Mus musculus: one gene and its partners. The protein of the gene in region 5 interacts with the protein of the main gene of each other region in a pairwise test. Links are inferred from orthologs where the notes say so. Each region holds a gene or a part of one and is shown on either strand. Other genes may lie near its edges.

Region 1 (4,310 bases), on a different chromosome or scaffold from region 5:
TCACTTAGCAGCACCAGTGTCTTTACCCACTGAGCCACCTCCTCAGCCCAGCATTCTACTGTTTGGATTTGTGTTTGTGCTTGTTTGGCTGTTTATGTAGTACGTGTATCGAGTGACTGAGAAAGTCAGAATAGGGTGTTGGATCTTCTAAAACTACAGTTATAGGCAGTCATGAGCTGCCATGTGGGTGCTGAACTGAACCTGAACCAGGAGCCGAGCCTGGTCCTCTGCAAGAGCAACAAGTACTCTTAGCCACTGAGCCACCTCTCCAGCCCTTAATGTTCTACTCTTAGTAAATCATCAGGCTATTTTACTTTATTTTATTTTTCAGTGCTGTAACCAAGTGCAGGTGTTTAACATGCTGAAATGTGAGGCAAGCACTCTTTCACTAAACTGTACCTTTCCAAACATATTTTAAGAATAGCTGAAGGCCAGGTGTGGAGCGCAGGCCTTTAACCCCAGCTCTCAGGAGGCAGAGGTTAGTGAATCTCTGAGTTAGAGGCCGCCTGGTCTATAGATTGAGTTACAGGACAATCATGGCTGTTGCCCAGAAAAACCCTGTCTCAAAATAAACGAAAACCCAAAACCAAGACAAAGAGACAAACAAAAACATACACAAAAACTAAACTAAAACCCAACTAACCAAACAACCAAAAAAAAAAAAAAAAAGAATATTAGGTGTGGCATAAGTCTCTGGTTCCAGTCACTGACAGGCTGAGGAGGGTTGGTTGCTCTGTTTCCCAGGCTAACTTGGGCAAGTTAGTGAAACTGTCGCAAAAAAAAAAAAAAAAAAAAAAAAAAGTTCGTCGGTTTTTTTTGCTAGTTTGTTTTGTTTTGTTTTGTTTTGTTTTAAGACAGGATCTCACTCTGAGGTCCAGGCTGGATTCAAATCCACTAAGTAGTCCGGCTGCAAACTCAAAGCAATCCCCCATACTTTAGTTTTCCCATACTGGGGTTATGGGTGTGAACAACCACGCCCCGCAGGAAATTATTTTCAGGGACTTAAACTGCTGCCCAAAGTCACACAGCTCCTCCGGAACTGATGCCCAGGACGTGACTCTGGTGTCGTTCCGTCCCCCCCTTACTCCCGTCTTTAATCATAGTAGAATCCAGTTGTCTCACTGTATTGAGTCCAGTATCCTAAGCCCTACTGAGAAAACTGTTAATTTTGTAACTCTCAAGAAGTAGGTCCTCTTCCAGAAGTCATACAGTTTTCTAAAATAACACATGAAGTGACAGGCCTGTACTTTTTAAAGTACAAAACCCCTACCTGTCATCGCCCCACAAGGGAAATCGCTACCAGAGCTGTCCCTTCGCTCAGGCAGTCCTCCTGGGCATGCGCTTTAGGGACAACCTCCCCCCTCCTTCTGGAACGGCCCCGCTCAGGCTCCGCCCACCACCACCAACGAGAGCCGATCCCTGAGCTGCAGGGCGGGGCTGCCACGCGAGTGGGCGGGAACTAGGGATAGTCGAGTGTCTGGAGTCGTGCGCCGGAGTCAGAACTGCGCCTACCGTCCCAGGTGTCGGTTGCTGGAGCAGAACAAGCTAGCGATGCTACGGCAGCCGCTTCCTGATTGGCTGCGTGTGGCTCCCTCTTCGTTCTGATTGGCCGCGAGTGATCTGTGTATGTAAATGAAGGGGCCTGGTGGGGAAAGACGGGGGTACGGGGGGCCGGGTTCTTTAGGGTGTTCGATACCTCAGCTAGGTAGATGGTGGCCGGGGCTGACCGGGATCGAGCGCCCAGGGCCTGTATGTGTCGCCCGCCCGGGCCGGGCTGGGTGAATCACGTCGGAGCCCGAGAAGGGGGCGGAGGCGCCGGCTCCCTGGCTCCGGCTGCGTGACTCACCCGCCCCCGCCGCCGCCGCTCCGGGAGGAGCCGCCTCCGCTGCCTTCCGGAAGCGAGGGAAGGCCGGGCTCACTGAGCGGCCCGCGGGGGTCGCGGCTCGCTGTGGCCCGGGAGGGACAGGCGGTACCCTGGGGAATCTAAAGGATCCCGGGGTCACTGGGGCCGGAGTCCCCGGGGGAGCCCAGGTTGGAGTACCGCTAGGGGGCGCCGGGACTCGGGGGGGCGGAGTCGGGGTGGGGGCTGAATTCCTGCGGTTCCCGGCTCCCGGGTCTTCAGCGAAAAGGGCAAAGACTGGATTTTTAGTGTCTTGCTAGGTCTAGGCAGCGTCCCCGGGACTGAGACCCTGCGGCCTTTATGCCCCCGTTAGATTAGGCTAGGGGCTTCAAACTCTAGTCCTCTTGGAAGAAAGTACCGATTTTCAAACTTCTGTCAATGACTTACTCCCGCGGCCCTTCAGGGTTTCCCTTGTCTCTCTCTTTCCTCAATAAGTTCGGGACCCTTACTTCCTTGAGTGACTACTAACAGCTTAGGCTTTAAACCCAAGCGGCCAGCATCCCAGTGAGTACAGCAGTCGGAAGGCAGGCAGTTCAGGCCCACTTCTATCTCCAAACCTACACACACACACACACACACACACACACACACACACACACACACACATGATGCTGCCCCGCCACCGATCTTTCCCCAGGCAGCAGCTACCGGGGATCCTCTAGAGACCTTGCCAACTAACGTCACCATTCATCTTCCTGCCTAGACCCTACCCTCCATGACTCTGTCCTGACACTCTGAAAATCCAAGCCTCCTATTCCTGCCCGCGCCTCCTCCTGCTTGCTCCCCACCCCCACCGGGACTCCTACTGTGTCACACTCTCTGCGCCTGCTCCTAGTGTGTGGTGGCCTTCTTTTTTTTTTTTTTTTTAAACTCCCCAGTTCAGGTTTACCTCTCTCTGTCTTCCTTTGGCTCTTTCAGGAAAGCCTGGCCCTGCTTCTCCATAGCCTACAGTGCAAACAGCAGGACTCAGCTTCAATGTACTTATCTTTCTTAGAAAAACCTGCCTTGACTACCTCCCAGGATGGCATCTTCCTACCACTTTCTGTACATTTGACCATAGAGTTCCATGCATAGCAGATACTCTGTATTGAACTGTGTAAGATGGCTGTATTTGTAATCAAGGAATGGAACACACCTGTAATCCTAACCCCTTGGGAGACTGAGACAGGAGGATTGCCTGGAATGGCTGGTCAGCCCGGACTACAGTGTGGGGCCCTGTCTCAAAAGAGCAAAACCAAAGAGTGCTTATAAATAAGAACTAGTGATGTGGTTTTAGAGCTTGCTGTTCCTACAAAGGACCTGATTTCAGTTCCCAGTACTCACATCTGATGGCGTACAGTTACTTTAAAATCAGCTCCAGGGATTCCAGCAGCTGGCTTCTTTGGACATCTGCACGCTCATGCGCGCACACACACAAACACAAAAATGTAAAATAAAAGTAAAATTTCAAGTACTAATGACCATGTTGCAAGGGCTTTTTGTTCCTTTAATCTAATCTGTAGTAGCAACTTATAACAGAATGCTGTCTGTATCTCAGAAGCTCACTGAGGACGCTGAGAATATAACTCAGTTGGTAGAATGTTTGCCTTACATGCAGGAGGCCCAGGAAGTTCCATCCCCAGCATCAAATACACCAAGTATGGTGGCACACACCTGTAATCCCAGCGCTGGGAAGGGGAAGAAGGGAAGAGCAGAAGCTGCCTACATAGCACGTTTGGGGGCAGGTCAGCCTGAGTTACACGGGACCCTGTCCCGTTAGAAACAAATAAGAATTTGCTTAGAAAACCTAGACCTGGAGGTTAATCGACTGGTCAGGATCCCACAGACAGCAGTTGTCAGAGCTGGGTGTGAACTGAGTATTGGCTTCCCATAACTGAATGGCTCCTTCCTCCCTGCAGAGGATGCTGAGCAAAGGTCTGAAGCGCAAGCGGGAGGAGGAGGAGACGATGGAAGCCCTCTCCGTGGACTCGTGCTGGTTGGATCCGAGCCACCCGGCAGTGGCGCAGACCCCGCCGACGGTGGCTTCTAGCTCCCTCTTTGACCTCTCAGTGGTCAAGCTCCACCACAGCCTGCGGCAGAGCGAGCCGGACCTCCGGCACCTGGTGCTTGTGGTGAACACACTGAGGCGCATCCAGGCGTCCATGGAACCCGCACCTGTCCTGCCGCCTGAGCCCATCCAGCCCCCAGCCCCTTCTGTGGCAGACAGCCTTCTGGCTAGCTCAGATGCTGGCCTCTCAGCCTCCATGGCCAGCCTCCTGGAAGATCTCAACCACATTGAGGACCTGAACCAGGCCCCCCAACCCCAAGCAGATGAGGGGCCTCCAGGCCGCTCCATCGGGGGGATCTCACCCAACCTGGGTGCCTTGGACTTGCTAGGCCCAGCCACTGGCTGTCTGCTGGACGATGGACT
Region 2 (3,513 bases), on a different chromosome or scaffold from region 5:
TCCTATTGAGCCAGTGCTGGAGCCTTCCCATCAGGGACTAGAACCTGTCTTGGACAGTGAGCTGGTGACCCCTCCTATTGAGCCAGTGCTGGAGCCTTCCCATCAGGGACTAGAACCTGTCTTGGACAGTGAGCTGGTGACCCCTCCTATCGAGCCTTTGCTGGAGCCTTCCCATCAGGGACTAGAACCTGTCGTGGATCTAAAGGAAGAGAGCTTCAGAGACCCATCAGAAGGTATGTGGTATAAATGCTTTTTTTTTTTTTTTTTTTTTTTTGTAAATGCATTTTTAAAAGTAATAATCCTTTCTCTGTCCCAGCTATCTCCCAATAAATGAAACAGAAACTGTAAGATTTTTTTTTTTTTAAGATTTATTTATTTATTATATGTAAGTACACTGTAGTTGTCTTCAGACGCACCAGAAGAGGGCGTCAGATCTCATTACGGATGGTTGTGAGCCACCATGTGGTTGCTGGGATTTGAACTCAGGACCTTTGGAAGAGCAATCTGTGCTCTTAACCGCTGAGCCATCTCTCCAGCCCCCTAAACTGTAAGATTTATTTCATAAGCTTTACAGCACAGTAGCTGATAGTAGTAATAGTAATTGATCTATTACTCTAAACTAATCTGGCTACTTCCCAGCCAAAATACTTGCATTTTAGTATTGGTCTGGCTGTCTCTGCTCAGGTGTGTTCCCATGATGTCTCTTTTTCTCCTGTGGAATTTAATCTCCCCTCCCTCCCCCTTGCTCCTTCCCTATCTCCCTCTCTCCCTCCCTCTCCTTCTCTCTCCCCCCACACCCCCCCGGGCTTGGAAGTCCAGCCCTAGTCTCTCTTCTGCCCAATCATTGGCTGATCAGCTTTAATTGACAACTCTGAAAGTAAGTGGGGAACAATATTTACACAAAATTCAGGCAGGCGATACTTAAAATAAGCAATACAGTGCCTTGTCCCGATTGCAACCAGATATGGAGGCAGAGAAATCAGCATTTGAATAATACAAGGATAATCTTTACACAGATTACAATAACATGCCTACAATGTGGCCCCAAGGTGTCACCCTAGGCTTCTCTGAAAGTCCCTGTGGACACTTATGTACCTGCAGGTTCCAGGTAGTTATCCACAGGCTGTTCCCTGACTAATTCACATACAAACTTTTGCTCCCAGCCATACATGGTGACATAAACCTTTAATCCCAACACTGGGTAGGCAGAGGCAAGGAGGATCTCTGTGAGTTTGGGGCCAGCCTGGTCTACAAAGCCAATTCCAAGACAACCAGGGCTGTCACACAGAGAAACCCTGTCTCTAGAAGTGAGGGGTGGGGAAATGGGGTATTGTCTTAGGGTTACTATTGCTGTGATGAAACACCATGACCAGCCTGACAGTGGTGGCACAGGCTTTAATTCCAGCAGAGGCAGGCAGATTTCTGTGAGTTCAAGGCCAGTCTGGTCTATAGAAAGAGTTTGAGGACAGCCAAGGCCACACAGAGACTCCTTGTCTCAAAAACAGGAAAAAAAAAGGCCAGACAGTGGTGGCTCATGCCTTTAATCCCAGCACTTGGGAGGCGAGGCAGGCGGGTTTCTGAGTTTGAGGCCAGCCTGGTCTACAGAGTGAGTTCCAGGATAGCCAGGGCTACACAGAGAAACTCTGTCTCAGAGAGAGGGAGAGGGAGAGGGAGGGAGGAAGGAAGGAAAAAAATTTTTTTTCAGGGTCTTCTTGACCTACATAGAAAGTTCAAGGCCAGCCTGGACTAGAGAACCAGTTCCCCAAAAGGAAAAGTTGGGTCTTTATCCATGGGTTTCACATCTTCACATTTAATCAACCTTGGGTAGAATTTTTAAATGTCTTTACAGAATACAGAAGAGGGAAAGAAAGTACTTTTTCTCCCTGTATAAAACTGGAAGCTCACCTAGGACTTTCTTCGTAGAAGCAGGGAAGCTGCTAGTTTGGGTGCTGGAAACAATCTCTGAATTTATTTCAAAGAGCAATGATCCACTCTGGTGAATCCTTTGGGCATGCAGCCCTCAGGGCCTGCAGTATTTGAGGTGAATGGTAATACTGTTCATTGTTTCAGTCCTAGGTACTGGTGCTGAAGTGGATTATCTGGAGCAGTTTGGAACTTCCTCGGTAGGTACTTAGCCCTTAATGACAGCCTTATCTGAAATGTGTAATCCAGTCAGCCCAGGCCATCTATCCTTGATTCCTGGAGCATCCTATAGCTTCTGTATCATGTCTGGTCAAGTCTGAGTGTAAGAGCCTTTGTCTTGCAGCAGAGTTCTGACCCAGGACTCTCCTCACTCCCAGATAATCCTGGTTTTATCGGGGTATGTTGTGGTCTCCCCAGACCACTTTGCTCAACAAGATCATCCTGGCTTCTGGGAATGTATCTGTAAAAGCAATGATGAATCATGCTAATTTTCCTAGTCCCATCTCTCCAACTCTCAGTTTAAGGAGTCGGCCTGGAGGAAGCAGTCTTTGTACGTGAAATTTGACCCTCTTCTGAAAGACAGCCCTTTGCGGCCAATGCCGGTGGCCCCAATAACAAATAGGTATGTCCCTCCTTTGAAGCTGTTAGCACCAGCCAAGGCATCTCGTGGCTGCTAACTAAATGTACTGATTTGAAACTTCTGTAAAAAGGCTAATCTCAACTAGAATGAGTGATGGTGACAGACAGGACATTGAGCCTAGAGCCAGACTCACCTATCAGATAGTCCATGTTTGTAAGGAGCTCTGCCATGCTCTCTTCACACAGGCCACACCAGCAATGACTGCACAGCAGGGGTACCAGACTAGGCCAGGTTACACAGTCTGTTTTTATGAGTGAGTTCCACAGTAATGCCTGTTCCTTCATGAATCATCTATAACAACTTGTATTATAAAGGCAGATTCGAATTGGTGTGACAGAAACCATAGGGCCTTCAAATCTGACATTTGTGGGAAAACCCTCTTTAGAAAAAAATACAATCAAATAATACTGAGAATTATGTGCTAAATCTAACACAAGACCCTTGAGCCCAGGGGAGGAAAGATTTGCCCCCTCTAACTAGATATTCACCCTGTAGACTCTGAGGACACCATGTCACAGTAAGGTATCTACACTGTCTGCACAGCTTGCTATGAGCAAGGGAAGCATCAGGCTTGCCTCATAGTGAGTGGGCAGGTGGGACTTGAGGCAGTAACTGTCGGGCCCAGTTCTCCATTCTCAACTCCTAGTCTTTTGGTTTTTTTATATTTGTTTTTAGACTAAGACCCAAACACAAAGCTTGTTAAGACAACACTACTGACTTTTATGCCCTATTCAATACCCAGAGCATAAAGTGATCTTGCTGCGTGCTTGGTTTCAGTACACAGGATACAGAGGAGGAGTCTGGTTCTGGAAAGCCGACAGAAGCTGAGCTTGTCAACTTAGATTTCTTGGGAGATTTGGATGTTCCGGTAAGTACTTTCATATCTTTGGTGCAATTTCTGTGGTCCAAAGGGATGAGATGTTGAGAGCCTATGTTTTATTCACACAGGT
Region 3 (4,142 bases), on a different chromosome or scaffold from region 5:
TAAGTGCTTACAATGCCGCTAGCCAAGGAACCAGGGGTCCTTCCTGGAGTAAGCTCCTCCCATCACACTGGCTGCAGGCTCCCAGGCTGTGAGGCAATTTATTTCTGTTATTTAATCTCCTCACTTCCAGGTACTTTGTTTTGACAGATGCAACACACCAATACAAACCGTTTTTCTCTACTCTGTATTTACCTTCGCTGTCTAACCACACACCTGCCCAACCTGTCTTGCTTAGCCAGAAGGTCCCAAATACTTTAGAAATCTGTGTGGCTGATTTGTATTCTGTGACCTCGTTCTGAACCCAACTCCTGGCTTCTCTGGGTCCTCTCTCATTTTCTTCTACTTGTCCTGCCACAGGAGGCAGACAGGAGGCTATGACCTCTGTAGGATACCTTTGCCCCACCCCTGTAATGGGCATTTTATTTTAGTCTCTCTCTTGCTGTCTTTGGAGTCTTTCCCCTTCATTTCAAACTCACCTCCACCCCCTTTCTAGGTTGGAGTAGCCTTGTGAAATTATCTTTCTGCGGTGGAAATCTTATTACATCACTTGCCAGCTCCAAATCTCTCAGAGGGTCCCTTTAGTTTCTAGTCAGATGCCAAGGTCCCAGTTTACCTAGGACGACAAGCACGGTGACCTAACTTCTTTGCCATCCACCATAGAGCATCTATCTGTCTTCATTGCTCCTGCTCTGCCCCTAAAGCCACATTCAGGATCAGCTAGTGCCCAGCCTCTTTGTTCTAGAGCCTGCAGAAGCCCAAAATTTAAAAGGCTTGTCCGGGAGGTGGCGGCAGGTGGGGGTTGGAGGTGGGGAGCTGTCTTTGGATTCTAGACTGATTGAAAAGCCCCATCTGTGCTCTCCCCAACCCCACCCTATGTTTCTTTGACTGTAATTTTTCAGGGTTGGGAACTGGTAAGTCTCCCTAGCATAACCAGCCCAACACAGTAGAGCACTTGAGAGGAAGTAGCGACTTCACGCTGTCAAAGGCACTCCAAAGTGAGGAAGGGACGGGGGGGGGGGGGGGGGGGGCGGAGAAACAGCAATTTTGCCCAGCTGTTTGGGAGAATGAAAAATCAATTTGCAAAGACAGCACTTCCTCATCCTTTTCAGCGCTGACTGTATCATAACTGACTCGTGAATTGGAATTAAAGCAAAGCTTTTCCCCTTGTCACGGTCAGCAGTGTGTGCTTTCAATACCGAACGCCCGGCGGTGGAGGCAGGCTGCGTCGAGCTCGCTCAGCCCGGTACAGCTGAAGTCACTTCCCCTGCAGGGACAGAGCGTGCTTTCGTGGGGTGGGCGGGCGGGTGTGTGTGTGTGAGAGAGAGAGAGTTTTCCGCAGTAGACCTGAAAACCCAGCCAGCCGCGGATTGGCGCATCCCGGCTGCGGCCGCCTGAGTCATCCGAATCGTTCTGGAACCGGGCACCAACTTGCGTGTTTGTCCGCGGCTCTTTGTGCGCGGATCAGCTGTACCGTGGGCTCTGGCATCTAATCCAGGATTTGCCTCTGCGCGAGGCTTATGGAAAGCAGATGTCTCGCCGCTCTGGGACTGAGCACAGAATGGAAGTGACCCAGAGAGGAGCTGTTTGGTACAGACGACACGGAGGGAAGGCCCCGGCGCGGCCCGCGAGGCCAGCTCCGCTCCTCGCGTCCGTCCTCTCTGCCGAGCCCGCCGCTCAGATCGTGTCCCGCGAGCGAGCCGTGTGACCGTGAGGCCGCGTGCGGCGGGAGCCGGGATACCGGGGTCCGCGGCCGCCAGAGATCCGGGTGCGAGCAGCAGCCGCGAGGGTCGCGGTAAGTGTCCCTGGGGGTGGGGGCGTGAGGGGCGCGGGCGGTTTTTCGGAGCTGTCAGCCCGCCAGCACTGTTCCCGGAATCTCACGGACCCTCTGCAGACCCTGACCTGCAAGGAACGCTTGCAAAGTCATTTGACCCTGGAGTAGAAAGCGACTCTATAATCTTAAAGCTTGGAAAGGTGTCCTCTTCCCACCCCCACCCCCAACCCCATTTCTTTTTCTTCCAAAAATAAACAAACAAAAAAATGTTCTTTCTCTTTGAAGGAACTACTCAGCTAGATTCCTGTCTATTAGTTTTCACGCTTACCCTCTGGCCAAGCTCACGCTGCACGTCTGGTTTATTAAAAGGTGGAGATGTTGCCTTTCTGGGCTTTTTGATTGATGCTGAAAAATCTGCATGCTGCTGTCAAGATGTAAAGGATTGGGGGTGGGGAGGAAGCTTGTCCCAAAAATGCTTGTCAGATGCAAAGCATTCCGCGAACCCCAGACATTTCCCCATTTGTAATCTAATCGATTCCAGGGAGCAACTGACTTATTTTCTGCAACTCCTTAATCGAATTAGGGCACAGATAGCGTTAGATTCAAATACTTTTTAATTCTAGTGTGTGTGTGGGGGGGAGGGGGAACGGGACACGTATTTATTTATTTTGAGGTTCTGGGGAATTAATGCTCGGCTGAACTGATAAGTTACGGCCCCACCTCTCAAATGCTTTTTAGATAGTACATTTAACAGCATTTGAAGTTCTGAGAGTCTAAAGATTAGGCTACACGCTAGGATATACATGAGAGGTTGTTCTTGTGACAGTTTGCATATCTATGCCCGCCCCCCCCCCCGCGCCCGCTCAGGGTTGGTTGGTTTGTTTTTCCTTCTAAGATGGAGCTTAACCTTCACATCTGTATTCTTGAAATATAGTTATAAGCTCAGTACAGCATAACAAGTACTTCCAGATTCCTTCCTGGGGGCGGGAGTTACTGTGCTGGATTTTATATGACCTCCAGTTTCAGATTTCCACTCCATTTCACCCTTAACAGAGCCAGCATGGGCGCTTCAACTCCAAGCAACAGAAGAGCAGGAGTGATTCAGAGCACTTGGCCCACCACGGCCTTGAACCAAGACAGAAAGCATTTTATAGACTTTTTATGATATGCACTACATTCCCGTCCTGTTCAAACATAGGCTCATATAATGATTAAAGATCAATTAAAGAGAAGCAGGCCCTGCCTCCCTTCTCCCTTGGGTAAATACGGTCTCCCCTTTCTTCCCTCCCTCATTTGCAGAATTCTATTTCACTCAGTTACCATGACCTCATTTTGGATTGCGGCATACATGGGGCCATCAACTGTCATTATCAATGTTTGTTTCAGTGAAAATGTGCCCTGTCAGTATCTTCTGAGAACGTTTACTCAAACCTTACCTTTATTTTCCTAGAAAACTCTCCATGTATATAAATTGTACTGTGTCAAAAAAAACAAACATGGCATCCATACCTTTAATTATTCTTATATCATCCCGTTACTGGTGGCTTGTGTGGATTATTATTTGGTGAGATTGTAGTTTCTATTTTATACTGAAATACAGGTAGAGAGAACTTCTCATAGGACACTAAATATAAATAAATGGGTTTGAAAGTATGGCCATTAACATGGAATGCTCTGGCCTTTTCTTTAGTCTATTGACTCTTCAGGAAGAACTAATAGTTACCATGCAGTTCAAGAGTGGTTTGTTTAGAGTCCAAGCTACAATAATTTACCGCTGTCCAAATTCATCACTGTGAGGATGTGGCTCATTCAGTGGAGAGGACCCAACGAGGTAATATTACAGTTTCCAAAAAAGCATTGGGAAGGCTCCCACAGCTAAGATCCAATCAGCGGCAGGGCCTACCTTGTTACTGACATTCCTTATTCAGTGAGGCCCATCATGGTATCGTGTCCCTACTGAACAAGCAGCCCCCTTTTGGTCTGTCCTTACTCCCTAAACAGCCAGCAGAACTGCGATTCAAAACTGCATAGGTGTTACAATCTGAGATGACTTAAAATGGGCAGGGGATTGGCGTAGGTTATGAGCAAGAGAAGGTAGTTTTGTACAAGCACTTAGTTATATGCAGAGTTTAATGTCTACGGGGGTGAGGATGCCCTTGAACCAACCCCTTCAGATGCCAAGGAATTGCCCTATTTCTTATACTCTTATATATTAGACTTGAAAACTGAATGGTGAGTTAGCAAGTCTTTTTTTTTTTAAATAAAATATGCATTTACTTATATGCATTTTATGTGCATTGGTGTTTGGCCTGCTTGTATGTTGTGTGAGGGTGTTGGATATCATGGAACAGACAGTTGTGAGCTGCCATGT
Region 4 (4,301 bases), on a different chromosome or scaffold from region 5:
GCACTTAGTGCTATAAAACTTCCCCTTAGCCTAGCCTTTATCATGTGCTATTTGTTTTGATGTGTTGTTTTCCTTTTCCATCAATTCTAAGAATTAAAAATTTGTCTCCTTGAGTTTTTTGACCAAATTATCATCCAGTAGTGTGTTTTGCTTTTTTGAGTTTGTGTATTTCTTATAGTTTCTATTGCTGTTAATATCTACCCTTATTCTACTGTGATTCAATAAAATGTAGGATATTATTTCAAATTTTCTTTTCTTTGTTTGTTCAGTCTTGATTTGTGTCCTAACATGTTAATTTTGTAGAAGTTTCCATGGGCTGATGAGAAGAATATGTACTCTTTAGTGTCTGAGTGTAATTTCTGTAGATGTCTGTTCAGTCTATTTGATTTTTGATGTTGTGTAAACTCTAGAAATTCTCTGTTTAGTTTTCGTCCTGCTTTTTGGTGGGAGTGGGGTTTTAAGGTCACCTACTTTAAATGTGTTTGCATTAGTATGTGTTTTTAGATCTAATGTGTCTTTTATGAAGTTGGGTCTACTGGTGTTTATCCACCCATTTATTTACTGGTCTCTTGTTACATAGTTTTACTTAAAAGATGTTTTCTTGAAGATATGTAAGATATTTTTCTAGTTGTATTGTGCATCTGTTATGAGCTATAGCATTATACTAGTATATGGCAAAGCCATCAATCTTCAATACAAGAATACAGCTTAACTGCCTATCTATTTAGTAGATTTCTTTTGGTATCTCCACATCACATTTACATATTTAATTATGACAAGTCCTAAAGGAAAATATAATTCCCAATTAGAAGTACCTAGTTTTCTAATGACTCTAACAAAAGGCAAACTTTTACAAGGTATATTTTTAATTAAAAATTTAATCTTAACAAAACGGAAATGTATATGTTCATAGCACATGTGTTTAATTATGCATTTGAAGAGGCTTAGGCAGTAGGATTCTTAATTCAAAGCCAGTTCTAGGCTAGATAGCAGCATTCTTCCTTAAACAAAAAAATCAACCATACTCAGACTTCAAATGAAAATGTCAAATTATAATGCAATGCAAACATTCTTTCTCAAAACATAAATACTTTTCTAGTATTCAAAAGAATCTCGAACATTTATCTGTCTCTACAAGCTCTCTATACCTAAGCTTGAGGGTCCTTGCACACTAAACTACAATACCCATAACACTGTCCTGTATTTCAACTCAGGGTTTTCAGGAAGCTTGGTGTGAGAGGAATTGTGGGTATCTAGAAGAAAGCATTTTGACTTCATCTCCCAGAATCCTCTAGCATCCCTTGATACCTAAGCAAATATTGGATACTTCTGAGGAATAACAGTTTCCTGTGACCTCAAACTACATTTCCCATGAAGACACATGCTCGGGCCTCGCGGTTCTCTGATGCCCTAGCCAATGGGAGAGGCTTCAATAGTCACCTGGTAGGTTAGAGTCCAGCTATTGGGCCCCATTGCCTGGCCTAGGCCATCTAGTAGAAGGTGCACGGTTGGGAAGACAGTTGTGGGGCACACCCCACCCTGAGGGCACTCCGGGTCCAGGAACTTCCGAGCGGGTCCGATTTTCCGCGGCTGTTTAAGGAGTAGCGCTTCGGTAGCCGGGGAGCTGGAGGTCAGCGAGGCAGAAAGCCCGAGTGGCAGTGGCCGGGGACTGTGGGACCGAGGGGGTCTAGGGAGGAGGGTGCTTCCGGGGCCGCAATCTTTGGCGCCTAACTCCGCCCAGCCCGCTTCTTCATGGGTGGTGGGTGCCTTGACTGGAGTTGGGGGGCAGGCACCAGTTGCCTTAGCATCCAAAGCACAAGCACGTCCCCCCTCCTCCCAACTCTTCTCTTATTTCCTACCTCCACCCGCCCCTCTCCCCACCACCCAGCGCAGGCTCCTTCTTAGGATGAGAGAGCCTCCAAAAAGTGGCATCTGGATTCCCCTTCAGGCAGGAGTTGGGTGCTCTGTTCCCGCCTTTAATTTGTTGCTCAGCTCTGAGCACCTACCACTGCAAGTACACACACAAACCCCACTCGACCCCACCCTGCACCCCCGTTTCCTCTAGGCGAGTGGAAATTCCTTGCTAAACCCAGGGCTTGATTTTCTGTCAATTTCCATTTCTGCTTCCTGATAATGAGGTGTTCTCTCTCTCTCTTTCTCTCTCTCAATCTCTTTCTCTTGGCTCATCTCTTTTTACTGGCCTTTTTCAACTAGTCATTGGAGTGGAAAAGGTGTCCTTCAATTTCCAGAAGGGATAGGAAGCAGAAAAAAAAAGAATCTTACTTTTGAGAAATACACAATTAAGGTTCAGTACAGTGTTCTAGTGAGGGTAGAGGGCAAATTGGACCATTTAAAAACCTGGAGCATATTAAGGGCTTCCAGCAAAATCTGATTAACACCAATAGATAGAATTGAGAGGCTGCTTTGTAAAAGTTCTAGCCTAACTCAGAGCTTCCTGACGTCTTGAAACTTACTCTTTCCTTAGAACAATCCTAGTATGCTTTGTGGAAGAGGTTGCCTTTCATTTGGGCTCCAGTGGTTTAAAAGAGATTCAAAAGGAGCATAAGAGGAAGAAAATGCTTCTTGATGATGCAGGACTTGGCGAATAAGAAGTGGGGGATGGAAAAGGAAGGAGTGTATGACAGAGGCACACATGGTTCTAGAAGAGGTATCAGCAGGGATATATTGGGAGATAATACTAGGATAATATTGGGAGATCATAGTGACATGACAGGTAGAAGAATATGCAAAGTTTGAATTTATTCTGTATTGAATAAAATTAAAGACAAAAAAATTAAGACTGGGTGATTTTCCTTTTCATCCTAGGGGAACCTGATTTGAGATCAATTCTTGGAGAACACAAAGAAGTGTGGTGGTATGTTCCAGGTGTGAGTTTAAATATAAGGAGAAACTTTTGTCTTGTAGATGTTTTATTTGTGGCTAATCTTCGCCACAACCTGTATCTGTCAATTAGAAAGCAAAGTGCCATAAACATAATAAGAAATGAGTTTGCTGTCCTTGTGTAGCAGAATACCTGAATTGTAACCATCTGATTAGAAGACAGTATTGACTCCTATTTATTGAGCCCACATAATGTCCAAGAATCATAAGCACTTAGTGACACTGTCTGAGAGTCTTATATGTACTATTATTTCCACTATTTCTCTAGAAGAAGAAACTAAACTGGGTATTTTAAGCAAATATCTAAAGACAAATAGATTAGAGATAATCGAGGTGGAGTTTTGATGTACAAACTTCTGACTTGAACGCCCATGCTCTTCGCCCATGGTTTCCTAGTTCTGATGTGTATTTTTGTTCATGATTTTCCAACTGTGGCAAGGAAAGATTAAGGTACAATTGTTCATCCTGGAAGAAACCCAAATGAGTCATTTGGATTTTTGTGTCAGAGTGTGTCTGCTGTAAAGTCGTTGCCAATACCACATTAGATTAACTGTTATAACCATAGTTGATTATGCCTGCCAAAATTATAGTCAATGTTTCTTTTTCTAAATTAGATGATTCTATACAAAAAATTATGTCCAACCTTTACATCATTTGGGTGTAGACAGTTCTTTGGGTTTTATTTCATTTCAGCTTTTTCAAGGGGACCCAGGTTACTAGATGTCCTCTGGGACCCGAGTACACGTGAAATACAAGAAGATACAATCGAATACAAGGCCTGAACCCTCACTGGATTTCGGGGAGCTAGGTGACCACAGTTGTGAGGTACCATGGAGTAGAAGATTGTAGGAGAATGGAAACAGGTAGACAGCATTGTGATATGGTGAGGAAAGAGTAGCTAATCAGAGGAGGAGGTTATGGAAACGTCTTTTGTGAGGAGGTGACATGACAGGCCTTGAGGGAATAAGGAGTTTGCAGGGCAAAGAAGGGTAGAGAGGAGCCATTAGAGATAAAGGAATCACTCTGAACGATGTGTGTCTCTATAAGAGTAGAGTGTGAACAGTTCGTCACAGCTGGGTACAGATGTCTAGGATAAGGAAGGTCCAAGCAAAGCACGCTACAGCATTTTGAGCATGATTTTTGAAGAATCAGCTGTAATGGTACTGAATATGAATACACAGGCCCATTGGCTGTCCAAATGGGGTGCATAGACCAGTGGTAGTTATGTGGTGCTCTCACTCACATTTAAAAGTTCATTTGTTGCATACTTGAATGTATCAGAAAAAAAAAAACATCTGGATTAGCTCATCAAACCTAAGGTTGCATAGGACTTGATCTAATAAAAATAGAAACTACATTAGTCTTAAGTTGATCTAAGGACAAATATTCAGTAAGAGTGT
Region 5 (3,015 bases):
GGCAGTGGCTCTACCCTGGAGCCATGGCCCCAGCCCCTCACCAAGAAATGCCACCCAGGAGCCCCCATCTGTCTCTCTTCAGAGCACAATATTCAATGTTCAATATGAGGACATATGGAATAACAGCATTTTTCTCAGAGTCTGGCCCATAGTAGACATTTAATACTCATGGGTGAATCAATGAAGAGTGATGCTGTAGTTCCCGAAACACCGTAGCTGCTCAGTAAATGAACCAGGAAAACTCTTCCAGGCCCCAACAGTTCACAGCTCCCACAGGTGACGGTTCATCTGTTGATCGAATCACTTGTGCTCCTGTGTATGACCTCAGCCGTATCTGCTGTGGAGGTCATCAGGAGCATATGGGTAGCTCTGTAATGTGAAAACAACCTTTTACATTATTTCTTATTTCAGCATGTGTAGGGGGAGTTAATGAAAAAAAATCACAGCCACAGGGTCTGGCATACAATAAATACTTGATAAGCTGGAGAATGAATATGAAGCAGCTATCACAATGCCTGGTACATAGTATATACTTAATAAATACTTAAGTGAATGAATGTCAAAAAATTAACACATAGCAGGTATCCAGTAAATATTTGCTGAATGTATGGATAAGTGAAGAGCAGTTATATATATGCCTGGCACACTGTGCATGCTCAGTCAGTTGTGAATGACGGATGGATAAATACATTATCCCAATGGCTGGTAAGCAGAAGGCACTAACAAATGCTTGTTGAGTAAAACTGTGAAATGAATTCAGGGTGTCTGGCTGAGACACATTAAGCACTCAATAAACCGAATGAATGAAAAAGCTATCGCAGTGCCTGGCATGCAGAAGGCACTCCATAAATGCCGAAGTAAGAGAAGATCAGTAATCATGGTTCCTGGCACACAGTAAATAAAATAAACAGTTGTCACACTGGTTCAATGGCTCTCAGTGCCCATGGTGCGAAGCTGTAGGGTAATCAGTAGGTGCTCAATAACTGCTGCATGAGTTCTGGGTATCCATGTACAGCTCCAAACATGGGGGGATAGATGTGTCCTTCTGCTGCCTGCTGTCCCCCCTACTGTCGGCTTCACAGACTTCAACAATGACAACTACATCTGTGCATGGGACCTGGAGCAGACCGTGACCAGGCTGACTCGTGGGGAACTGAGTGCTGAGGAAGTGACCCTGGTCTGTGAGAAGGTGCTGGATGAAGCAGATGGAGACCAAGACGGGCGACTGTCCCTGGAGGACTTCCAAAATATGATCCTGCGAGCTCCAGACTTCCTCAGGTAAAAGTTCAAACCCAGCAATGAGAATTCCTGTTGTGTCATCAGAGGCCTCAGGGAACATCCCCAGCTTCTCCAGTTTCAGCCCATTCTGCCTGAGGTCCATAGCTAGGAGGCTGTGAGCATCTCCTGTGGACAGAAGCAGCATTCCCATCAACTGCCACAGGGTTTTACTGTGAATGGTCCTCAGCACCCTGGGATAGGGTCAGAGGCTCAGCTGTAAGGCTGGGGGTGGGTACATAGTTAATACAGTCAGAAGACTAGAACCTGGAGCTGCATCCTCTGTTGTCTGTTTGATTGATTGATTGATTTGGTTTTGCTTATATTTACTATGTAGCCCTGGCTGGCCTAGAACTCTTTATATAGAGCAGGCTGGTCTTGAACTCACAGAGATCCACCTGCCTCTACCTCTGGACTGCTGGGATTAAAGGCTTGAGCCATTACTTGCCTAGCCACTCCCATGAGTAAATTGAGGCTCAAAGGTAGCCAACTACCAGTTTTTAGTCCAACAGCCAGTCTGGAAGGGAGTTGGGATGTGAATATTATCCAGGTAGGTGCTTACAATTCCCAAGGAGATCTGGGCATGGTGGCACACATATCTGTAGTTGAGATATCCAGGAGTCTGAGGCAGGAGGATTACTGTGAGTTCCAGGGCTGCATGAGCTACAGAGGTGTCCAGGGTCTTCAAAACCTAAAATCAATCAAATCAAGAACAGGTCTTGTGGTCTGGAGAAGGGGCTGCTCTTGTGGTTCTGTTCCCAGCACCCCTGTGATGGCTTGAAACTCTCCACAACTCCAGCTCCAGGGGACCTGGCATACTATTCTGGCCTCTGCAGGTTCCTTCACATAACATGCTGCACACACACACACACACACACACACACACACACACACACAAATAGGGAAATATTTTAAAGAATATATTGTGGGAGCCACCTGTAGAATGACCCCAAGGTTGACCCCTGGCTTCACACCTGGCCCCAACAAGTCCCATGGGGACAAGAAAATCTGTGATTTCTGGGGGGTTCACAGGCCCGTGGGTCCCTCTTGCCTCTGCGTGTAGAAAGGAGGTGTTGGGGACCTGATGGGGTGTTGTCTGTGAGCTGTCAGTGACACCTTTACTTTTTGCACACAGCACCTTCCACATCCGCATCTGACATGCTCAGAGGACAAGACCTGGCCCTCACCCATCTCTACTCTGCTCTCTGAATAAATAGGAATCAAAACTGCCTCAGGATCTCTGCCTTTTGCTGTGTGTGTGGCCTTTGCTGTGGCTGCACCCACTCTGGGTTGCTATCTTGGATTCATACAACTGGCGACTTCTGGACCTAGAGCTCTAGAGGGACAGGAACGTCACAGCTAGCATATGGAGGAAGTCCAAGGTCACACCACAGCTCCTATCTAGAGGCCAGCCTGAGCACAGGATTGCCTCATTTTTCACTCACACATCCATGTCTTGTGAATTCCAAGAGCCCAAGGATGTTCCAGGGCCTTTGTTTAGGGCACCCACCTGCTGAAAAAGTAGTCATCCCACCACACAATCCAGTCACCCAGAATCTTGCCAGATTGATCACCCAGTGATTAAAGACCCTGGGGCTGGAGAGGTGGCTCAAAGCTATCAATAGCACCTGCTGCTCTTGCAGAGGACCTTGGGTTGGCTTTTAGTAGTCATATGGTGGTGACTCAACTGCCTGAACCTCCTATTCCAGCAGGCCTGAAACCCTCTTCTGGCTTCCATGA

What was found.
Region 1: the proteins of Cib3 (region 5) and Sertad1 interact in binary tests that used the Homo sapiens proteins (3 or more experiments, as listed by UniProt). The two-hybrid records come from large-scale screens. The link is inferred for Mus musculus from reciprocal best matches to the Homo sapiens genes CIB3 and SERTAD1.
Region 2: the proteins of Cib3 (region 5) and Tacc3 interact in binary tests that used the Homo sapiens proteins (3 or more experiments, as listed by UniProt). The two-hybrid records come from large-scale screens. The link is inferred for Mus musculus from reciprocal best matches to the Homo sapiens genes CIB3 and TACC3.
Region 3: the proteins of Cib3 (region 5) and Trim2 interact in binary tests that used the Homo sapiens proteins (3 or more experiments, as listed by UniProt). The two-hybrid records come from large-scale screens. The link is inferred for Mus musculus from reciprocal best matches to the Homo sapiens genes CIB3 and TRIM2.
Region 4: the proteins of Cib3 (region 5) and Enox2 interact in binary tests that used the Homo sapiens proteins (3 or more experiments, as listed by UniProt). The two-hybrid records come from large-scale screens. The link is inferred for Mus musculus from reciprocal best matches to the Homo sapiens genes CIB3 and ENOX2.

Annotation. Positions count from the first base shown.
Region 1 is NC_000073.6:27,485,455-27,489,764, forward strand, and holds the start of Sertad1 (SERTA domain-containing protein 1), read left to right. Parts: upstream 1-1,498; 5' UTR 1,499-1,624; intron 1,625-1,925; exon of another isoform or gene 1,926-2,031; intron 2,032-3,798; 5' UTR 3,799-3,801; coding exon 3,802-4,310. UniProt on the Homo sapiens protein: Acts at E2F-responsive promoters as coregulator to integrate signals provided by PHD- and/or bromodomain-containing transcription factors. Stimulates E2F1/TFDP1 transcriptional activity.
Region 2 is NC_000071.6:33,664,623-33,668,135, forward strand, and holds part of Tacc3 (transforming acidic coiled-coil-containing protein 3), read left to right. Parts: coding exon 1-233; intron 234-2,070; coding exon 2,071-2,123; intron 2,124-2,420; coding exon of another isoform or gene 2,421-2,441; coding exon 2,442-2,545; intron 2,546-3,340; coding exon 3,341-3,431; intron 3,432-3,511; coding exon 3,512-3,513. UniProt on the Homo sapiens protein: Plays a role in the microtubule-dependent coupling of the nucleus and the centrosome. Involved in the processes that regulate centrosome-mediated interkinetic nuclear migration (INM) of neural progenitors.
Region 3 is NC_000069.6:84,256,975-84,261,116, reverse strand, and holds the start of Trim2 (tripartite motif-containing protein 2), read left to right. Parts: upstream 1-1,337; 5' UTR 1,338-1,792; intron 1,793-2,892; exon of another isoform or gene 2,893-4,142. UniProt on the Homo sapiens protein: UBE2D1-dependent E3 ubiquitin-protein ligase that mediates the ubiquitination of NEFL and of phosphorylated BCL2L11. Plays a neuroprotective function. May play a role in neuronal rapid ischemic tolerance.
Region 4 is NC_000086.7:49,285,430-49,289,730, reverse strand, and holds the start of Enox2 (ecto-NOX disulfide-thiol exchanger 2), read left to right. Parts: upstream 1-1,488; 5' UTR 1,489-1,630; exon of another isoform or gene 1,631-2,815; intron 2,816-2,826; 5' UTR 2,827-2,886; exon of another isoform or gene 2,887-2,888; intron 2,889-4,301. UniProt on the Homo sapiens protein: May be involved in cell growth. Probably acts as a terminal oxidase of plasma electron transport from cytosolic NAD(P)H via hydroquinones to acceptors at the cell surface.
Region 5 is NC_000074.6:72,203,826-72,206,840, reverse strand, and holds the end of Cib3 (calcium and integrin-binding family member 3), read left to right. Parts: intron 1-1,082; coding exon 1,083-1,278; intron 1,279-2,410; coding exon 2,411-2,432; 3' UTR 2,433-2,506; downstream 2,507-3,015. UniProt on the Homo sapiens protein: Acts a an auxiliary subunit of the sensory mechanoelectrical transduction (MET) channel in hair cells. Plays a role in regulating hair cell MET channel localization and function.